Stegostoma tigrinum: one gene and its partners. The protein of the gene in region 2 interacts with the protein of the main gene of each other region in a pairwise test. Links are inferred from orthologs where the notes say so. Each region holds a gene or a part of one and is shown on either strand. Other genes may lie near its edges.

The links.
Region 1: the proteins of DNA-binding protein SATB1-like (region 2) and E3 SUMO-protein ligase PIAS3-like interact in a two-hybrid assay, tested with the Homo sapiens proteins (2 studies listed by BioGRID and IntAct). The link is inferred for Stegostoma tigrinum from reciprocal best matches to the Homo sapiens genes SATB1 and PIAS3.
Region 3: the proteins of DNA-binding protein SATB1-like (region 2) and E3 ubiquitin-protein ligase Topors-like interact in a two-hybrid assay, tested with the Homo sapiens proteins (2 studies listed by BioGRID and IntAct). The link is inferred for Stegostoma tigrinum from reciprocal best matches to the Homo sapiens genes SATB1 and TOPORS.

What each region holds. Positions count from the first base shown.
Region 1 is NC_081400.1:478,368-486,426, forward strand, and holds the start of E3 SUMO-protein ligase PIAS3-like, read left to right. Parts: upstream 1-5,030; 5' UTR 5,031-5,115; coding exon of another isoform or gene 5,116-5,122; coding exon 5,123-5,139; intron 5,140-7,398; coding exon 7,399-7,874; intron 7,875-8,059. UniProt on the Homo sapiens protein: Functions as an E3-type small ubiquitin-like modifier (SUMO) ligase, stabilizing the interaction between UBE2I and the substrate, and as a SUMO-tethering factor.
Region 2 is NC_081355.1:105,008,842-105,016,904, reverse strand, and holds the start of DNA-binding protein SATB1-like, read left to right. Parts: upstream 1-5,028; 5' UTR 5,029-5,326; intron 5,327-8,063. UniProt on the Homo sapiens protein: Crucial silencing factor contributing to the initiation of X inactivation mediated by Xist RNA that occurs during embryogenesis and in lymphoma.
Region 3 is NC_081356.1:30,233,800-30,240,723, reverse strand, and holds the start of E3 ubiquitin-protein ligase Topors-like, read left to right. Parts: upstream 1-3,900; 5' UTR 3,901-4,061; intron 4,062-6,924. UniProt on the Homo sapiens protein: Functions as an E3 ubiquitin-protein ligase and as an E3 SUMO1-protein ligase. Probable tumor suppressor involved in cell growth, cell proliferation and apoptosis that regulates p53/TP53 stability through ubiquitin-dependent degradation.

The DNA of each region.
Region 1 (8,059 bases), on a different chromosome or scaffold from region 2:
AAATCCTTCAGAGGGTGAAGATACATAAGTCCCCGGGCCGGATGGGATTTATCCTCGGATCCTCTGGGAAGCCAGGGAGGAGATTGCCGAGGCTTTGACATTGATCTTTAACTCGTCATTGTCTACAGGAATAGTGCCAGATGACTGGAGGATAGCAAATGTGGTTCCCCTGTTCGAGAAGGGGAGTAGAGACAACCCTGGTAATTATAGACCAGTGAGCCTTACCTCAGTTGTTGGTAAAGGTTATAAGGGGTAGGATTTATAATCATCTAGAAAAGAATAAATTGATTAGGGATAGTCAGCACGGTTTTGTGAAGGGAAGGTCGTGCCTCACAAACCTTATTGAGCTCTTTCAGAAGGTGACCAAACAGGTAGATGAGAGTAAACTGGTTGATGTGGTGTATATGGATTTCAGCAAGGCGTTCGATAAGGTTCCCCACAATAGGCTATTGTACAAAATGCGGAGGAATGGAATTGTGGGAGATATAGCAGTTTGGATCAGAAATTGGCTTGCTGAAAGAAGACAGAGGGTGGTAGTTGATGGGAAATGTTCATCCTGGAGACCAGTTACTAGTGGTGTACCGCAAGGGTCGATGTTGGGTCCACTGCTGTTTGTCATTTTTATAAATGACCTGGATGAGGGCGTAGAAGGATGGGTTAGTAAATTTGCAGATGACACTAAGGTCAGTGGAGTTGTGGATAGTGAAGAAGGATGCTGTAGGTTACAGAGAGACATAGATAAGCTGCAGAGCTGGTCTGAGAGGTGGCAAATGGAGATTAATGCGGACAAATGTGAGGTGATGCACTTAGGTAGGAGTAACTGGAAGGCAAAGTACTGGGCTAATCGTAAGATTCTTGGTAGTGTAGATGTGCAGAGAGATCTTGGTGTCCATGTACACAGATCCTTGAAAGTTGCCACCCAGGTTGACAGGGCTGTTAAGAAGACATACAGTGTTTTAGCTTTTATTAATAGAGGGATCAAGTTCCGGAACCAAGAATTTATGCTGCAGCTGTACAAAACTCTGGTGCGGCCGCACTTGGAGTATTGCGTACAGTTCTGGTCACCACATTATAAGAAGGATGTGCAAGCTTTGGAAAGGGTGCAGAGGAAATTTACTAGGATGTTGCCTGGTATGGAGGGAAGGTGTTGTGAGGAAAGGCTGAGGGACTTGAGGCTGTTTTCATTAGAGAGAAGAAGGTTCAGAGGTGACTTAATTGAAACATATAAAATAATCAGAGGGTTAGATAGGGTGGATAGGGAGAGCCTTTTACCTGGGATGGTGACAGTGAGCACGAGGGGGCATAGCTTTAAATTGAGGGGTGAAAGATATAGTTCAGATGTCAGAGGTAGTTTCTTTACTCAGAGTAGTAAGGGAATGGAGGCTTTGCCTGCAACGGTAGTAGATTCGCCAACTTTAGGTACATTTAAGTCGTCATTGGATAAGCATATGGACGTACATGGAATAGTGTAGGTTAGATGGGCTTGAGATTGGTATGACAGGTCGGCACAACATCGAGGGCCGAAGGGCCTGTGCTGTGCTGTAATGTTGTATGTTCTATGTTCCACCAACCTTAAGTGTCGTCTGCAAACTTACTAACCCATCCTTCTACACCCTCATCCAGGTCATTTATAAAAATGACGAACAGCAGTGGACCTAACATCGACCCTTGCGGTACACCACTAGTAACTGGTCTTCAGGATGAACATTTCCCTTCAACTACCACCCTCTGTCTTCTTTCAGCAAGCCAATTTCTGATCCAAACTGCTATATCTCCCACAATCCCATTCCTCCGCATTTTGTATGATAGCCTACTGTGGGGAACCTTATCGAACGCCTTGCTGAAATCCATATACACCACATCAACCGGTTTACTCTCATCTACCTGTTTGGTCACCTTCTCAAAGAACTCAATAAGGTTTGTGAGGCACGACCTACCCTTCACAAAATCGTGCTGACTATCCCTAATCAATTTATTCTTTTCTAGATGATTATAAATCCCATCTCTTATAACCTTTTCCAACACTTTACCAACAACTGAGGTAAGGCTCACTGGTCTATAATTACCAGGGTTGTCTCTACTCCCCTTCTCGAACAGGGGAACCACATTTGCTATCCTCCAGTCATCTGGCACTATTCCTGTAGACAATGACGAGTTAAAGATCAATGTCAAAGGCTCGGCAATCTCCTCCCTGGCTTCCCAGGGGATCCTAGGATAAATACCATCCAGCCCAAGGGACTTATCTATCTTCACCCTCTGTAGGATTTCTAATGCCTCTTCCTTGTGAACCTCAATCCCACCTAGTCTAGTAGCCTGTGTCTCAGTATTCTCCTCAACAACATTGTTGTTTTCTAGAGTGAATACTGTCGAAAAATATTCATTTAGTGCTTTCCCTATCTCCTCTGACTCCACACACAACTTCCCACTACTATCCTTGTTTGGACCTAATCTTAGTCTCGTCATTCTTTTATTCCTTCAATACCTATAGAAAGCCTTAGGGTTTACCCTGATCCTATCCGCCAACAACTTCTCATGTCTTCTCCTGGTTCTTCTGAGCGCTCTCTTTAGGTCTTTCTTGGCTACCTTGTAACCCTCAAGCACCCTAACTGAGCCTTCACATCTCATCCTAACATAAGCCTTCTTCTTCCTCTTGACCAGAGATTCCATTTCCTTCGTAAACCACGGCTCCCGCGCTCTACAGCTTCCTTAACCAAATATCTTGAACTGTACCCACATCCAATACTTCCTCTGGAAGTTCATTCCTCAGACAGTATTAAAATATAATCTCTCTGGTAACCTTTTCTTTCAGCTTTGCCCCTTCCATACCTAGTTTGGTCATTGTCTCGCTTTGTTCATGCCCATTAACTTATCTCCATTGTCCAGAACCCATGGTCTGGATTTTATATGACCACATGGGGCAAAGGGAGTGGCAGAGTATGAGATCAGCCTGTTGAACCTGGATCCCTATTGTGTTATCAAAATTGATGTGGTTCGACAGCCTGTAATCCCAGCAATAGTCACAGGTCCCAATGTTCTCTACTAGAACTGCAGGGCTGCCAGCCATGGAATCGGCGACAACTCACTAAAATGGAACTCCCTTCCAAGAACTAAGAATTTAAGACTATAATGTATGGGAGCAGAGGTAGGCCATTCTGCCCAATCCGCCTGCTCCACAATTCAATAAGATCATAGCTAATCTGATTATCAGTCTAATCAGGATTAACAGTCTAGTACCACCAGATCACTTCCTGCCTTATCTCCTTTGATTCTCTAAGGAAATTATAAATTTCTCTCTCGGCCTTAGACCATAAGGTATAGGAGAAAACTTAGGCCATGTGGCCCATCAAGTCTGCTTCATCGTTTGATCATAGCTGATATGTTTCTCAATTTCATTCTCCTGCCTTCTCCCCATAACTCTCAATTTCCTTGCTAATTAAGAACCTCTCTGTCTTACATACAATCAATGACTTGGCCTCCAGAGCCTTCTGCAGCAATCAGTTCCACAGATTCGCCACACTCTAGTTGGAAAAATTTCCCTTCATCTCAATTCTAAAGGGCTATACTCTGAGGCTTGCTCTTGGGTCCTAGTCTCTCCTACTAGTGGGAACATCTCCATGTCCACTTTAATCAGGTCTCTCAGTATTCTACAAGTTTCAAACAGATCCCATCTCATCCTTCTAAGCTAGACGTAGAGCCCTTCATCCCTAGAATCATTCTTGTAAACTTCCTCTGGATTATCTCCAATGCCAGCATATCCTTCCTGAAACTTGGGACCCAAAACAGAACAAACCACCGCAGGAAGTGACAGAGGCAGGGACTGTCACAGCATTTAAAACATATTTAGATAGATACAGGAATATAATGATTTAGTTCAGTTTGTGAAACCTGTTTGACATGGATTAGTTGGACCAAAGAGTCTGTTTCCATCCTATATTACTCCATTACAATATTTCAGTTGCGGTCTGACCAGAGCTTTATACAGTCTAAGCCATATGCCTCTGCTCTTGTATTCTAACCTTCTCAGTCATACAGCATGGAAACAGACCCTTCCGTTTAACCCATCCACGCTGATCAGACATTCCAATCCGGCCTAGTCCCATTTGCCAGTATCTGTCCCATATCCCCAAATCCCGTCCTATTCATGTACCCATCCAGATGTTTTGTAGTAATTGTAATTTTGTAGTAATGTTGTAATTGTACCCACACCTATCACTTCCTCTAGCTGCTCGTTCCATACATGCATGACCCTCTGCGTGAAAAATTTATCTCTCCGGTCATTTTTATATTTTATCCCTCTCACCTTAAACCTATGCCCTCTACTTTATATTATGTGCAGTTTTGGGCTCCTTTTCTGAGGAAGTATGTCCTGTTTTCGAGGGAGTGCAGCGAACCCCCAAACCCGCTCCTCCAATTTTCTGATAATTCTCACTTTCTCTGTGCTGATAATTTTTTTTCTTTCTTTCATTCCAGTTTTACACCTCCTTCCCGCCCAAAAGAAACTCGCGCGCCCAACGGCACTGGAGAACAGGCCCCGCCCTCTCAGTGGCCCCGCCTTCTCCAACAGCTCCCTTCACTCGGCTCCTCTCCCCGCGGCAGGACCACACCTCGCTACCCAAAGACCCGCCCCCCACACCACAGCCACGCCCGCTACATGGACCACGCCCTCAAAAGTTCGACAACCCAAGTTTACCCCATGCTGACAAAGTGTTGAAGCTGGATGAACACAGCGGGCCAAGCAGCATCTCAGGAGCACAAAAGTTGACGTTTCGGGCCAAGACCCTTCATCAGAGAGGGTTGATGAAGGGTCTCGGCCCAAAACGTCAGCTTTTGTGCTCCTGAGATGCTGCTTGGCCTGCTGTGTTCATCCAGCTCCACACTTTGTTATCTTGGATTCTCCAGCATCTGCAGTTCCCTTTATCTCTGATCACAATTTGCCCCATTCTCCACGGCCAGCTCCACCCGCCCTCCCTCCAACTGGCGCACCCCGCAGGCCCCTCCCTCTTATTAACACGCACCGCTGTCTCGCCCGTTCATCCAGACCACGCCCATATTGCGTCGCCTGCGTGATGATGTCAGCGGGGAGAGGTGGGCCCGGGGTCGAGGCGATGCCCGGAGATGGCGGATGACGGGGAATTGCGGGTCAGTATTAGGAGGTCTCGGGAGGGAGAGGGAGAGCGAGCGGGAGGGACGGGGTTGTTCTCTGCAGTGGTGGCACCGGGTGGAGCCAGCTGTCGATGTTGATCGAGCAGAAGGAAAGCATTCCCCCCACTAACCACAGCGAACTGGCCCGAGCGCGGAGGCGCGCGTCGGGGGAACGACCGTCGTGGGCGCGCCTGGAGGGCTCTCCGTAACAGAGCAGGCCCCCACCCCAAACCTCACCCTAAATCATGCCCCACACATACTACTGGTTCCCTCTTAAATTCACTGACACTCCCTCCCGCACCAAAACAAGCGCACGACACCCCTCCTCACTGACACTTATCCTACTGATGACAGCCCCCACTCTGACCCCATCCTTCCCAATGACCCTCCGCTCCCCCGCCACAGCGACCTGCCATTCGCCCTTCTGATCCCCTACCGACCCCCTTCCCAACCATCATATCGATACACCCTCACACTGACACAACTTCACCTCCCCCCCCCACCACGGACACCCCTACCCCACACTGACACACCATCACCCCCCTCCAAACTGACACACCTCTTCCACCCCCCCCACACACTGACCTGTCATCCTCTCTGCTGACCCCCTACCCCTCACCAACCCCCTCTCCCCATGCTGACATGCCCCCACTGCCCTGCTGGCAGTCCTCCCATCCTGACAATCTGGCATCTTCCGCACGACCCCCCGCCACCCCCCACCAAGCCCCCAAAACTTCCATAAACACTCTTATTCTCAACTACATCCCTTTCCCCAGGTCTGTTGATATGCCATCCCTTTTCCAACACCGTCACCAACCACTCCTCCATACTTCCTGTTTGCAGCTGCTTTCCACCACTTCCAGCTTTCATTCCCTCACCCCAACAGTCACACTTAGAACATAGAACAGTACAGCACAGAACAGGCCCTTCAGCCCACAATGTTGTGCCGACCATTGATCCTCATGTATGCACCCTCAAATTTCTGTGACCATATACAGGTCCAGCAGTCTCTTAAACGACCCCAATGACCTTGCTTCCACAACTGCTGCCGGCAACGCATTCCATGCTCTCACAACTCTCTGCGTAAAGAACCTGCCTCTGACATCCCCTCTATACTTTCCACCAACCAGCTTAAAACTATGACCCCTCGTGCTAGCCATTTCTGCCCTGGGAAATAGTCTCTGGCTATCAACTCTATCTATGCCTCTCATTATCTTGTATACCTCAATTAGGTCCCCTCTCCTCCTCCTTTTCTCCAATGAAAAGAGACTGAGCTCAGTCAACCTCTCTTCATAAGATAAGCCCTCCAGTCCAGGCAGCATCCTGGTAAACCTCCTCTGAACCCTCTCCAAAGCATCCACATCTTTCCTATAATACGGCGACCAGAACTGGACGCAGTATTCCAAGTGCGGTCTAACCAAAGTTTTATAGAGCTGCAACAAGATCTCACGACTCAAACTCAATCTCCCTGTTAATGAAAGCCAAAACACCATATGCTTTCTTAACAACCCTGTCCACTTGGGTGGCCATTTTAAGGGATCTATGTATCTGCACACCAAGATCCCTCTGTTCCTCCACGCTGCCAAGAATCCTATCCTTAATCCTGTACTCTGCTTTCAAATTCGACCTTCCAAAATGCATCACCTCGCATTTATCCAGGTTGAACTCCATCTGCCACCTCTCAGCCCATCTCTGCATCCTGTCAATGTCCCGCTGCAGCCTACAACAGCCCTCTACACTGTCAACGACACCTCCGACCTTTGTGTCGTCTGCAAACTTGCTGACCCATCCTTCAATCCCCTCATCCAAGTCATTAATAAAAATTACAAACAGTAGAGGCCCAAGGACAGAGCCCTGTGGAACCCCACTCACCACTGACTTCCAGGCAGAATATTTTCCTTCTACTACCACTCGCTGTCTTCTGTTGGCCAGCCAATTCTGTATTACCAAAAGCCGCAGCAACATCCACATTGTTCCCACCCACCAAACCATTTACCTGGCATCTCGTTGCTCACACTGATAAATTCATCTCTTGCTTGATGCCCCCACTTTTCAACACTGATGCAAAACTATCCCCTGGCCCTGCAGCCCCCACCTTTTCAGCATTCTCCACCCTGCCTCTCTGCCCTACCTTTTCCCCACTCTAACAGATTCTGAGGAAGGGTCAATAGATCCAAAATGTTAATTCTGATTTCTCTACACAGCTGCTGCCAGACTTGCTGAGCTTTTCTAGCAACTTGTTTTTGTTTCTAACAGATTCTCTGTTTTGCAGCACATGGTGATGAGCTTTAGAGTGTCGGAACTACAAGTGCTGCTGGGATTCTCTGGCCGGAACAAGACAGGCCGTAAACACGAGCTGTTGACCAAAGTGCTGTACATGCTGAAGTCTGGCTGCAGTCCAGCTGTGCACATGAAAATTAAAGAGCTCTACAGGCGTCGCTTCCCTCGCAAGAGCCACACCACCATGGAGTTGCCTTTACTATCTGTCCAGAACGCCGTGGCTCACCCTTCAGCCAGTGCATCTCTGGCTCTTGGCAGCAATCCACAGCTTCACTACAGTACCTCTGCTGCCTCGGCCTTGGTGTCCCCACTGTTGTCGCCCCTCAGCATGCTCACTCCCAAGCGAGAATTAGATTTACAACATCTGTCCCCCCCAGTGCATCCAGACGTCAAAATGAGGAGGCTGCCATTTTATGACATCTACGATGAGCTGACCAAACCAACCACATTAGGTAAGGCCGTGGTGATGAATGGCCTGGGGGCTTGGAGGGGAAGATATGGGGTGGGATGGAAGTTGATGGATTTGGAAGGATTGATATTGTTGACCAGTGGTCGTTCTGTGCCCAGCACGCCTGGAATTTGATGGGACCTCCTGTTTGGTCTGAAGATAAGGTAAAGGTAAAATTGCTATAGTCTT
Region 2 (8,063 bases):
ACCACAATTAGTAGTATTCGCCAGCATTATACGTTGCCCTCAGTCTCGATAGAATAGAATGGACACAAGATTGGAATAACAGAGATTCAGATGTTGCTGTCAGTGATTCTGCATTTCTCTGGATGTGTTCTTATGCGGTTCTGTGTCAAATGCCTTGTACTCTTCCTGTCAGGAGCCTTGTGGTATTTTAATTCATTTAAAAGTGCTTTATTATTATATGCTGTTGTTTATTGTTGCTAAAATATTAATCCAAACACCTTTTCACACCACACCCAAGCTGTATGATATATCGAGATGCTGCAGCTCAGGTCCACTAACAGCATCTTCCAAGTCTGTGACTTCTACATGTCAGAACAGGAACAGCAGATGCATGGGAACATTCCTCTTAAAGTAACACAGTATATTGACTTAGAACTATGTTTTTGTTCTTTCACTGTTGCCAGGTCAAATATGCTGTGGGTGTACCTACAGTAATTCAAGAAGGCAGTTCACTACCATCTTCATACGGATTTACAATGAATTCTGGCCTAATCAGTGGTGTCCACATTTTGCGGTTGCTAACATCAGTACTACCGAACACACAAAGATCTCGTTACATAGCACCGGATTAAAACTGCCATGATGATAAGGGAACTTCACAGTACAAATATCACTCGATTGTTTTGGTAGCTTTCTTCTGGGTTAATGATGGGCACCACTTCTGCTAGTAACCATAAAACCCAGGCCAATATGTGTTCTAAGTTGCTTCATGAAATTGATTGAAATATTGCAAATCAGTCTGGACTTCTGAAGTTGAAGTGAAAACAATAGTTTGCTAAATAATAGTATAGTGAGTATGCATCTTTGTTAAGATTCACAGGAAACATTCTTGTGATAAAATGACCTAAAAAGCAGTCACACACAATTAAACATAAGGTCACATATTAACCTTCAAAGAAATTGTTTTGAGAACTCATATGGTATGATTTAAAACAAAACAAAGGCTGTTCATGGAAAAACAGCACATTCTTAAAGTTCATCTTATTTAGGAACAAGGTATCTCCAACAGATCTTTTCCTTTAATTGCATCAATAAATAAACAATAGGTTGCAGTTCAAATAGTTTATATGAATTAATATTTATTGGTCGTATAATACTCTTTTTTAATTTCAAGCACAATAAGCAAACACTGAGTGGATTTCAGACAGTATCAAAGGCAGGAAGAAATTGTGAGAGAAATCCAGTTGGGTTACACTTAATTATTCTACTCTTAGAGTAAAACTAGTAGAAAAGTGGGAAAATATGGGACAGGAGAAAAGTGAGTGCACAAAGGAAAGGACAATAGCAAGCCAATAAATGTGGTGATTTATTGGTAGAATATTAACAAAGACAAGAAAATTAAGATAGGACATACAAAATGATTTTCAACAATGATATTTTTATTAAAGCTTTTACAATGTAGATTTTTACCCTATAAAATGATGAGATGTTTTATTTTGATAACACCTGGAATAAATAGAATGGAAAACTATGAAATAAGAGCACTTCTTTATTCAGTCTGGGACTTAAAAAGTGAGATTTGAATCTCTGGACAGCATTTAGAGAGGTAATGCAATCCTAATTCTTAAAGATAGTGTTAGAAAAATACAGAAAACAATAGACATAGTAACAAATTCTAATCACTCACTTTTAGCAGTTTGTAAGTATTTTCTCTAGGGAAACACAAAATGTTTATCATTTGGTAAAAGGTTGGAATCTAATCTATGATTTTGGATCATATTGGGTGGAAGAAGATCAGGGGAGTTATCCTAGTATGCTGGCCAGCATTTATTTCTCATGCAGCAAGAAAAACAAATGATGTGACCACTTATGATATTTTCTTTTGTGGCACCTTACTGTGGCACATGGTTTCCTAAAGTACAACAGCTACTATTTTCTCATAGTAATTCATTGGTCTAAAGTGCTTTTGGGTAGCCAGAAGTCATGGAAGTAATTATTGCAATAAATATCTGGTGAGGCCCCAATTTTGTTCTGAAACCATTACAAATGTATAACATGTTGTTTGCAAAACACATAACTTTTGCAAGTCCGACTGTACTGCTTCAGTAATACTTGATGCCATCAAGGTAGTGCCTATGATCAAGTTTAAATGTTTATAGTAACTCAAAAGATTGCCCTTGAATATGTTTACAATTTCACTTTTGTTTAAGAAAACAATCTGACACAATCAGATGTGCTTAAAGGTATACTGCATTCATACACTCCATTTTGAAAAAAAAGCTGAGGGGTCTTTGAACAGACAGGAATAATTGCTAACACTAGGGCCAATTTATTTACAGATGCAACTCACATTTGCAACACCAGAATATTTTGCACTATTTTCTTTGAGTAACTTGTTATTTGGGTGAAAATCATGCAAAATTTGCCAGCCTGATAACTTTTGATTAAGCAAGTGACAAAAACACGAAATTCTACTTCATTAACTGTCTGAAAATTAAATCCAATACTGGTAAAGGTGTCAATTTAGAGTTTATTTTAACCTCGGATAGTCAAATCTAAAATGCTATATCCTATTTATTAAGGCACTTGCTTTGTACTAATTCAATATATTTCTGTAGTTCACTCACCTTGCGCCTGATTTTAGCAATAATGTGGTTAGCTCATTTCGTTTAGTTAAGAACATTAAAACAAGGATATTGAGTGACTGTAATGTAGTCAATGAAACAACCTCTGCAAGGTGCGGAGGTCCTAAATAGGCAAATTTGTTTTTTTGAACTTGATCTTTTGGGAAGATATAGCCAGATAGTTATGAAGTGCGCCACCAAGTGGACATACTTGCTGAGATTAACCACAATCTATGAAGACTATAGTTTTGGAGAAAAATTCACTTCTGTCAATTTAATATATGATTACCGAACAAATCACATTCGACCCATGTAAGATTAGCCCTCAGCATAAAATGGCAGTAACATTTTAAATCAATGTGACTGTTGGGACAGCAGCAGAAATATAGCTTTAGCTATATGCAGGGTTGGAAGAACCAAGCCTCGAAATAGCAATGGTCATTTTATTTCTGTTCCGTACACTTAACTTGATGAATGCGCCTAATATTACCTGAAACGAGTATTGACTGTTCTGAGTCGGGTAATGTTACCTGAACTCTAAAACAATATTTAAACTACAGCTGGTTGGGATCCGCCTGGTTAATAATAAAATGTTGTGTGACTGGCGCCTTGCTGAATAGATCTGCAATTATTTCTTGTTTTAAACATGCTGCATCCAAAGTAGAATGCAGCGCGCGAAGTAAATGATACCTTGAGGGAAAACAAACGTTAGTCTAAAGTATGCATTGCCACTTAAACCCAATACATATCCTCAGACTAAATAGCTAATATTTTCAGAAAACACTCTTTGATAGGCTAAGTTTACACATCAAAATATAATTTTAATCCTTGCGTTGTCACACGGGGGGCATAAATAGCATAAATTTTCACTTGGTGCAGCTGCGTCGAAGATTAACTGTTGTACATCAATGTATCGTTTTATTTCTGTAACAATAAATATTAAAGTTCACTGCAGTTATCGTGAAACTGATACAATTTTATCAACCTGAACCAATAAGACTTCTCAACCAGAAACTATTCTTATTAAGACAAAGGAGGTGGGTTCGATAACAGGAACCACTCGACCTAAAGTTGTTCATAGAACATAGAACATAATTCGTGAAATAGTGAGCAACATTTGTCTAAATCACACGGAAATGACAAAGACAATTTGATTGTGATTTCGCTGTTCATTGCTAACTCTCAGTCCTCAAAGACACAATCCATGTATTTCAGATAATAAAATGTTTGTTTTATCAAGATCCAGTTATCGCTAGCTGACCTGGACGTTGTAATTGTAGCAAAAAACTTACATCAGTTACTGGGTTCGATCTATAAATCACACGTTATCAAATGTACTTCCTGGACCAACTATTTGAAATAATATCACTGTTGTAAAGGTCCTGAGTCATTACGAGGTGCTTCGTGGATCAGACCGGGGGACAGGGGAACTTGAAGTCATTTTGAAATACTAGAGGCAGAGACAGAGGGGACATGAGGCAGAGAGAGAGGCTATGAAATGGGATTCAGCACCCTGGAAGTGGATGAGGAAAATACTTTCACATTCTGGAAAGCGCAACTGAAGGGTGTGAGTTCAGTGGAGAAGCCAATATTTGGGTTCAATGACATCGAGGGTTTTAAGAACTTCAAAACCGGAATGCAAAGAAAATGAATGTCCAGCTCTTTACCGTGGAGCTGCCGTTTATTCCCTATTGCTTCTCCCTCGTAATAAAAACTCAGCGGATCGTTCGGGCTTTCAATACAAATAGCCAAAAAAGAAGAGAAATGAATAAGTCGTAACATAACCAAATAGTCGTGCTAGGGTGTGTGTGTGTGTGGGGCGGGGGGGGGGGGGTGTTGGCTGTATCACAGCCCTGGTTGTCTGTTGAGCTTAAGTATTTCTGAACTATTCAAGTTGAGGGTCTGGAACTCTACCTTCTGTCTGTGAGGGTAGAGGACCGGGGCGGACGGGGGGAGGGTGGAATCGCGGTCTGAAATTCATTCACTTTGCAATCGTTCATTTCCAAACTAAACTACGCTGTGCCAAAGCAATCTTGTCTTTATCATTTGCTTTAAGAAAAAATTTCCAGTCAGTCCTGTTGGTTTCCAGCTGAGAGTAGACGATTTGCGGGTAAATCATGCAATCCTCTTCTGCGATACCTAAAATAGTCAGCCAGCCCTTCTTTGCTACTTTCAGTTTCAAGCAGGGCACGATGTATTTCGAGAGCTCAGATCACTGGGGGCCGGCGGTTTGTGGGCTTTAACAGTGCGGGTTTTGCCAGCGACTGTCCCGGAGACTGATAGCTGCTCTCTCTGTCTCTCTCCCTGCCGCCCCGCTGAAGGTGCGCCTGGTCTCCGGGATGGCTGTACTGAAAGCTCCGCATCGCCACCCCCTTTCCTGTTGCGGTTCACCTCCATTCAACAAATAACGACAACTGGAAGTGTTTGCATGTTTCACTAGGCTGATTTCCTGTGAATAAACTGCACCAGACACGTCCCATACTTTGCCCCCGCACTGATCTGATCGTTCCTTTTCTTAAAACAAAATCTGCTCTCAACTGTACCACACAAGACGCGGATCCGGGAGAAGTTTGTGTTTGCCAAATCAATAAGTCTCAGGGCTTGGAAGATTATTGCTGATCGACGCGACTGCGGAGTGTTCGCTCCGGTGTGTCTCTCTGCACATTTAAGGGGGGAGGGGGGCAAGAGAAAACTGCAACTTTAAATGCGGCGACAATTCTAAGGTACTGTTTACTCGGGCGAGCGTGTTCCGTAGCTTTTGTTCGAAATTCCCTTGTGATTTGTGGCTGCCTCTGTGTGTGCACTTTGTGGTGAGGGCGATTTTGCGGCAACAATTTGCCACCTTATTCTGAGAAATTGTTTTCAACATGTCAGACTGCAGGGAAAGAACGCGTGCGGTATATGCGCGCTTCTCGTGAGTGTAGCGGTTCGGAGCTTGTGTGCTGTGTCACTAAGAGTTGTCGTGTCCTGGAACCAGTTTAACTTTTTAGTAGTCTAACCTGAAGGAAACACTTGACGTGAGTAAGATCTTTGTGGACGTAATCACATATTTAAATGCCCCCCCCCCTCAGCTTTTGACATCCCCGATGGATACTCTTGCATTGCCCCTATAATGTTCGGGTTTATAACATTAATCAGTCTGTCTGAAATAACACGCTCGATTATCGGAGAGTATCTATCATAGTTTAACTGCAAGACTGTGAGTGTGTCAGGATGTGAACCAGAGCAGAATGAAACCGTAATCCTTACTGGGGATTGTACCTCAAATTAAGCTCGTCCTGTGTTTATTAAGTGTGTCCTATGATCTCATGGACTTTGTCTCACTACGGGCAAATAGACGATACCAGAAGCTATTTTGTGCTTGAGCCTTCAGGAGTTGTGTAGCGTATTACTGTAAACCATTTCTCACGCACCTAGTTCTTGCATTATTACAGACGTTGGCTTTTTAAAAAAAATGTCTCCACTAACTATGTAAATGTTCACTCCAGCATTTGACCTGAGCTGACCCATCTCGCTATCATATATGTTCACATCTCATCTAAGTAGTATAATACGCTAAATGTAAAAACAGCCACACTGGCGATGAAGTGTAATAAAACAAATCTCTGACATGAGATTTGCACAAACCAAAAAGCAGGCCTCGCTAAATTCAACTAATACGTCCATCTCACTAACGACTGTCTTCCAGGTTCTAGGAACTCCAGTCGACTTTCCCAATCTTACTTTCTTTTCACATCTGGCAGTTCTGCAGCCAGCCTGCCTTAGACAGGCTCTTCCTCAGCTCTAACTGGTCTCGTACCAGTCCACGTGCTGCTGCAGTCGCTTGCTTGATGCTTGCCATCTTTTCCACAGACATTACAGCTTCTTTTTTGTATTCATTTTTGCAAAACCAAAGTTCTTAGACTGGAATTCCTATTCTCATTGTCTCCAAACATAGGAAGATGCCCAGAAAGATGATCACACCTTGATGCTCCGTAAGCCAATTACCCTACACTTCCCTTCCTGGCATGAGGGCATCAGTGGGGAGAGATTTTTCACAGTGAGTGATTCACTCCTATAAGGCCTTGTCCATGGTGAGAAAATGCCTATGACAAGACATTGCTCAGAGCTAAATATTACCCATGATGAAGTATCATCCATTGTCAGACATTACCCCAGTGAGGCATTGTCCACACTAAGGCTTTCCCATCATAAGTCTTTCTCCATAATAAGACATTTGCCCATGATGAGGCTTTCCCTATAGGGAACCATAGTCCACAGTGAGCCATTGCCCATAATGGGACATTTTTCATAGTATGATATTGTCCATGGCAAGACACTGACTATAGTGAGACACTGCCCACTGCAAGACACTGTCCAAGATGAGGTGTTGCCTATTGTGAGATGCGGTCCATAATAAGACATTGCCAAGGATGGCCCTACAGTGAGACAAAGGCTTAATTTTCTATTCTGCATGAATTTTCATGCTATTTAAGTCGATGAAGGACAATATTGTGCAAGGTGTTAAAAACAGTATCCCAGAAGTTTCCCATCTGATTTACAAAAAAGAAATGCAAATGCTGGCAATAAAAATAAACAAGTTGCTAGAAAAAAAACATTCTGGGTCTGAAGAAAAGTCACTGAACCCAGAATGCGAACTCTGGTCTTCTCTCCATAGTTGCTGCCAGACCTGCTGAGGTTTTCCAGCAATTTCTGCTTTTGTTTCCCACCTTGTCAATTGGATTAAAGTTAATCCCGTTGTGTTGCAAGGCATAAGGGGGAGCCTCAGTTAATGCTTCCACTCCTTAGTAACAAGACTTCTTTATTTTCTTAGTTCTTTATTACCTAACCTAACTCAGACATCAATGTAACACCAGTTTCAATTCAAAATGTCTACATTTGTGTATAGATGTTACCCCATTGGCGGAACTGACCCAATTTTCTTAAATACATAATCATGGCTGGGGATAATCTATTAAACCACGTTTAAAGTATGTTTCCTTGAAATAACTGCATCAAGTTTAAGAGATATTTTTATGTAACTGCTTGGTGAGAATATTATTCCAATAGGTAACTGTACTGGAAAGAAGTTGACTTGAGTGCAAGAATGTGCTTCTAGGTTGTGCACGCAGTTTTTTCTGATATAATAATAACAAGAAGAATTCCATCAAAGTCACAAACATGATACTCAGAGGATGCTTCATACATTAGCATTTTTGGCAGTACAGTTTGGATGCATGTATAGAAATGCTCAAATTTGAAGGTGGTCTCAGAGACATTTCTAGCCCATATTGTCCCTATATGTGCAACAGGATCACATATATCAACTTGAAGATTTACTTGAATAACAACTTGGTAATTTGGGGCCTCTTCAGCTACTTTCAATTTAGTATACAGATTAAATTGTGTATAAACTAATGACCATATTATTGGCGAAAGTGAGCACTCTTTTTCCATGCAGTACTGGCAGGGTTAGTAAAC
Region 3 (6,924 bases), on a different chromosome or scaffold from region 2:
TGGAATATTGTGAACTGTTTTGAGACCCTTATCTACAGAAAATACACTTGCATAAGAGGCAGTCCAGAGAAGGTTCACCAAACTGATACCAGTGATGGAGGGAAGACTTGTGAGGACAGGTTGAGGAGGTTGGGCCTGTGTTCATTGGAGTTTGGAAGAATAAGAGGTCACCTTTAGAAAAGATACGAGTCTCTTTGGAGATTTAACAGGATAGATGTGGAAAGGTTGCTTCCCCTTGCGCGAGTGTCTCGAACCACAAGATAATCTCAGAATAGGGGATCACTTTTTACAAAGATGATGAGGAATTCTGGCTTTCAGAGGGCAGTTAACTTGTGGAACTATTTACTGCAGAGACTGGGTTTTTATGTAAGTTCAAAGCTGAGACAGATAGATTTTTAATCAATAAGGGAATCAAGGGTTATGGGGAAAAGGCATGAGGGTGGAGTTGAAGATTATTGGATTAACCATAATCTCACTGAATGGCAATAGCAGGCTCTTTGGGCTGAAATGCCCACCTCTGCTCCTACTCTTACGCTCACTACAAATCAAAATGATCAAAATCCAAGAGTTAGACAGAGGGCAAAACAATGGCAAATTGAATTTTAATACAAGGTTTTGCAGAGGAATACACATCTATGGATGCAAAAAATGTGCTTCCTGTTTCAATTAACCGATTTGCGATGCAAAGTAATGCCAACAGCATGGCTGCAATTCCTGCACCATCTGAGGTTAGGATGAAACATAGAAACATAGAAGATAGGAACAGGAGGAGGCCATTTGACCCTTCAAGCCTGCTCTACCATTCTTCACAATCATAGTTGATCATCCAACTCGATAGCCTAATCCTGCTTTCTCCCCAAAACCTTTGATCCTGTTCACCCCAAGGGCGACATCTAGTTGCCTCTTGAATACATTCAATGTTTGACATCAACTGCTTCCTGTGGTAATGAATTCCTCAGGTTCGCCACTTGTTGAGTAGAGAAATATCTTTTCATCTCTGTCCTAAGAAGTCTACTGCAAGTCCTTTTACTGTGACCCCTGGTTCTGGGCACACCCACCATCGGGAACATCCTCCCTGCATCTACCCTCTTCAGTCGTTTCAGAACTTTATAGTCTCTATGAGATCCCCCTCATTCATCCGAACTCCAGCAAAAACAATCCCAACCTAGTGAAAACTCACTCCAACCCTTCTTAAGAAAGGTCCAGACCCGGAACGTCAGCTTTCCTGCTCCTCTGATGCTGCCTTACCTGCTGTGTTCATCAGCTCTACATTTTGTTATCCCAACCTAGTCAATCTCTCCACATACGTCAGACCCGCCATCCCTGGAATCAGCCTGATAAACCTATGCTGCACTCCTTCGAAAGTAAGAGCATCCTTCCTCAGAAAAGTAGACAAAACTGAACACAATATTCTCATCAAGGCCCTGTATAACTGTACCACGCATCGCTGCTCCTGTACTCAATGGTCCCTCCACAAAACATAGAACATAACAGTGCAGTACAGGGCCTTCGGCCCTCAATGTTGCACCGACCTGTGAAACCAATCTGAAACCCACCTAACCTACACTATTCCATTATCATCCATATGTTTATCCAATGACCATTTAAATACCCTTAAAAGTTGGCGAGTCTACTACTGTTGCAAGCAGGGCATTCCACATCCTTACTACTCTCTGAGTAAAGAACCTACCTCTGACATCTGTCCTATTTCTATCACCCCTCAATTAAAAGCTACGTCCCCTCGTGCTAGCCATCACCATCCGAGGAAAAAGGCTCTCACTGTCCACCCCATCTAATCCTCTGATCATCTGGTATGCCTCTATTAAGTCGCCTCTTAATCTTCTTCTCTCTAACGAAAACAGACTCAAGTCCCTCAACCTTTCCTCATAAGACCTTCTCTCCATACCAGGTAAAAGCCTGGTAAATCTCCTCTGCACCTTTTCCAAAGTTTCCACATCCTTCCTATAATGCGGCAACCAGAACTGTACGCAATATTCCAAATGTGGCTGCACCAGAGTTTTGTACAGCTCATGAAACTCAATCCCTCTGCCAATAACACATAACACACCATATGCCTTCTTAACAACCCTATCAACCTGGGTGGCAACCTTCGGGGATCTATGCACATGGACGCCGAGGTCTCTCTGCTCATCCCCATACCAAGAATCTTACCATTAGCCCACTACTCTGTATTCCTGTTACTCCTTCCAAAGTGAATCACCTCACACTTCTCCGCATTAAACTCCATTTGCCACCTCTCAGCCCAGCCCTGCAGCTTATCTATGTCCCTCTGTAACCTGCAACATCCTTCCACACTATCCACAACTCCAGTGACTTTAGTGTCATCCACAAATTTACTAACCCATCCTCTATGCCCTCATCCAGGTCATTTATAAAAATGACAAAAAGCAGTGGCCCCAAAACAGATCCTTGCAGTACACCACTAGTGACTGAACTCCAGGATGACATTTCCCATCAACCATCCCGCTGTCTTCCTACAGCTAGCCAATTTCTGATCCAAACCGCTAAATCATCCTCAATTCCATGCTTCTGTAATTTCTGCAATAGCCCACCATGGGGAACCTTATCAAATGCTTTACTGAAATCCATAAACACCACATCAAACGCTTTACCCTCATCCACCTGTTTCGTCACCTTCTCAAAGAACTCAATAAGATTTGTGAGGCACGACCTACCCTTCACAAAACCATGTTGACTATCCCTAATCAAATTATTCCTTTCTAGACGAATATAAATCCTATCTCTTATAATCCTTTCCAACACTTTACCCACAACCAAAGTAAGGCTCACTGGTCGAAAATCACCAGGATTGTCTCTACTCCCCTTCTTGAACAATGGGACATTTGCTATCTTCCAGTCTTCTGGCACTATTCCTGTAGACAATGACGAGTTAAAGATCAAAGCCAAAAAGGCTCTGCAATCTCCTCCCCAGCTTCCCAGAGAATCCTAGGATAAGTCTCTCTCCTCACCAGCTGTGTAGTGACTCTCGGCTGAAGCTACCAGCGGCCGTCTCTCTCTCTCTCTCTAATGAGAAATTAATGAAAAAATGAAAAATCCCGCAGGACTATGGTGACTTTACTCACTTTAACCCAATGCCCCTGTTCACTCAGCGAAGGTGCCAGCTCTCTAGAATTGCCCCTGGTGCATTCAGCAATCAGAGGCTCATCTCCAGGGCTCTGATGTGGCCAGAACCCCCTCCCTGCTGTCCAGAGATGATACTCACAACGGAATAAATCCAGTCCAGCGTTCGCTTACTCACACGGATCATGGTCCTTGGCTATGGCAACCCGACAAAGCCGATCACTGGAGGCTGCACTCACAAATATCAAAATAAAAGGCCAAGGAGATTTAAAAAGCAAACCAAAGCAAAGCACTCCGGGAAAGACTCGGATCGAACCCGATACGTTAACCCTGCTATTCTCTCTCTCTCTCCACAGATGATGGGTTTCTTCTCCACCTTTTTTTATAATTTGTGATCTAAAATAGCACCACACCGCCTTCTACCACTTTTTGGGTTGGTGCAGTAAATCCCCGTGGCTGAGATATCCTGATTCAGCGAAACCAAAATTCTTCGGCATCGCTGCGTCGGGCAGAAACGACTTCACACCGCTCTCTCAGCCGGTCCTCCGAGGGTCGCGGAGTGGGTCCTCCACTTTCCCGGCGGCCAAAGCGTGACGGTGGGTGGTGCATGTGAAGGCGGAGGCCAGTTGTGGGTCTTCTGACGTCTCGGGCCGGGTAGTCCTCCAGCGTCCCGGCGGCCAGTGCGACGCCGTCACTTACTGCGCTTGTGTGATGGTGTCACCTCCTCACAGGCAGTGGCTTGTCCCCAGACTGAGCCTAAGGGGTAGGGAGTGGGGTGGGTGGGGGCTTTAAGTGGGAATAATCCGAGCAAATGTTCACGGTCGGATCCAGGAGGAAGAGGAGAAGAAGGGGGGCGCGGGATGCTATAGCATTTAAGGAAAAGGAAAAGAGTTGCAGTTACAATACTGTATAATTCGAGTGAAGTGTGTGGAGGATCGGGCAGTGAGCGGCTGCAGCAGGTAAGAGAGATCCTGGGAGGGGTAAACTGCCTGGGTACTGGGGCCAGGCGTAGGCATTCTGGTCTGTCACCTCAGTGAGCACCCCGTGGAACAATTTGTGGAGCTACGAGATGTCAAGGCAGCTAAAATAAAACAATTCGAGGCCAGAGACTTTTAAACCAGAACCTGAGTCAGTGGCATCAATTCTGAGGGAAGGTCGCTGGACTCAAAACATTAACCCTGATTTCTCTGCACGGATGCTGCCAGACCTGCTGAGTTTTTCCAGCAGTTTCTCTTATTGTTTTGGTGGTATTCTTGGTATTCCTTCCGTGGAGGGAGGTTCCAGCTCAATCATGAAATTAAAGAGCCAGACAATTCAGGAAGCAACTCTTCACACAAAAGGTGGTAGAAGTGTGGAATCCTCTCCTTCAAAGCACAATCCTTACATAAGTCTGTGAGCATTATAGATTTTTGCTGGAAGAGTTAGGGGTTTGAGGTGTGGCTGATTGGGGTTCTGCCATCATCTTACTGATGAGGGAAAATATCAGAAGTCACATGATAGCATGTTATAGTCCAACAGATTTATTTGAAATCACGAGCTTTTGAAGTGCTTTCGTAGTCACCTGATGAAGGAGTAGCATGTCAAAAAGATAACTTGGTGTGAAGCTGGATGAATACAGCAGGCCAAGCAGCATCAGAGGAGCAGGAAAGTTTGACGTTTCGGGTCAGGACCCTTCTTCTCTGTAACACTTCAAAAGCTTGTGATTTCAAATAAGCCTGTTGGACAGTAACCTGGTGTCATGTAATGTCTGATTTTGTCCACCCCAGTCCAACACCAGTACCTTCGCATGATGACAGATAAACCAGCCTCAGAGGGCAAAGTATTCTGCCCATTCCTGTATTAGAACGTCTACAAAAGTGTCAGTTACTTTACACCAGCTTTTCTCTCTGTTTAAGCAGAAATCCACTTTTTAGCCATGTAAAGATAACCAGATGTTTGCAATAAAAGATTAGAAATGGCCTGATGTAACCACTGAACAAACCGTTCTTTTGGTTCTGAAATCTGCTTTTGACAGCATGAAAAACTTGTATGAAATACATCTGGGCAAAGTTCTGGGATAGTGAACTCTCATTCTCTAATTTGGCATTTCACTGAGATGTTACAAGGATCGCTGGTGCATGTAAAGGTGGTACCACCTTGTCGTAATTTGAGGTTCCATTTGAGACAGAATAAAGTGAACTACAATCTCTGATCAGAGATAATGGGAACTGCACATGCTGGAGAGCCCAAGATAACAGTGTGAAGCTGGATGAACACAGAAGGCCGAGCAGCGTCTCAGGAGCACAAAAGCTGATGTCTCGGGCCTAGACCCTTCATCAGATGAAGGGTCTAGGCCCGAAACGTCAGCTTTTGTGCTCCTGCGATGCTGCTTGGTCTGCTGTGTTCATCCAGCTTCACACTTTGTTATCTCGAACTATGGTCTCTTTTTATTTCATTCATGGGACGTAGGCATCACTGGCTATGGCTCAGGTTCTGGTTTTAAAAGTCTCTGTCCTCGAATTGTTTTATTTTTGCTGCCTTGTCACCTTGTAGCTCTACAAATTGTAGGCATCACTGGCTGGCCAGTGTTTATTGCTGATTCCTGGAGTGACTTGCTAGGCCATCTCAAAGTGGCATTTCAGGGTCAGTCACATTTCTGTGGATCTGGAGTCACATGTAGGCAGACATTGAATTCAGATTCCACCATCTGCTGTAGCAGATATGAACCTGGATCCCCAAAACATTAATTGAGTTTCTGGATTAATAGTCTAGCAATAATACCCCGAGACCATTAGGATTCTGCATGCAACACCTGTGCCTGTCAATGAGAGCTTCTAAAGCATGAGAAAATACTAACAGACATCAGCATCCACGCATTTGTTTCAAAAATATATTCATTCATAAATTATCTTTAAATAAGCACAACAAGAATTTTGACATGCACCAGAATTTCAATCCAGTTGCAACAAAAAGGTATTTTATAATCGTGAGAGGAAACTATTTACATTTTCATTAAGGTTACAAGGCTATCTTGAAACGTAACATATCTCCCCTCATTATATTTTGGCAGAAGGACTGCCAAGTAAGACTGTAGTCTGTGCCTTGGCAGCAGCTGCCCCAAGCTGTTGTGCATTCCTCAGAATGGAGCCTGGACCTTCGCATGTTCCAGTCTGCAGCGCTCAGTCGAGGTAAACTGTTTGCACTGGAAGACCAACAAGTTTCAGGCAGACTAAAGAGTGTCTGTCATTGAGTCCATGGCCCTCCAAGTGCAGTCACTGTTTGTTTTGGTGTGTGACTTAGAGACTAGCCTATAGATCACAGAGGCCTGTGTCACAGAGCTGCCCAGGATGAAACTTGACAAAAACCACTGCATCTCTCTCCTGACCTTAATTGCAAAGGCACATTCCAGAAAGAGATGTGTGATAGCCACCACAGCAGCATGCGGTTGTGGCCGGAGACTGGCTATGCATGAAGGATCTGACAGCTGATACCCTTTTCATTGCTAGCCAGGCTAGGTCTTGGTGCTTGTTGGAAAGTTCTGGTGACAAGATGACTTCAGTCTTCCATATACAAATGGAGTGAGTGCTGATCCCTTTTATTGATATTGTGACTGCACTGTATATCAGTGGATCTCTGTTTCTGTTTTGGCCAGTTCTTTCCTGCACTATAGCAGGACGAGATACTTTTGTGCATCAAGATTTTGTTTTCAAGAAGGATTATGTCGGTACACCCATTGATTGAATTAGAATCCTGAAAAAAATGGAGAGACAGATGTCCTTGCTTTTTAAATGCAGGCACTGTGTTCAGAAGGGAAATGTTACCCATCAAAAGATAATTTCACAT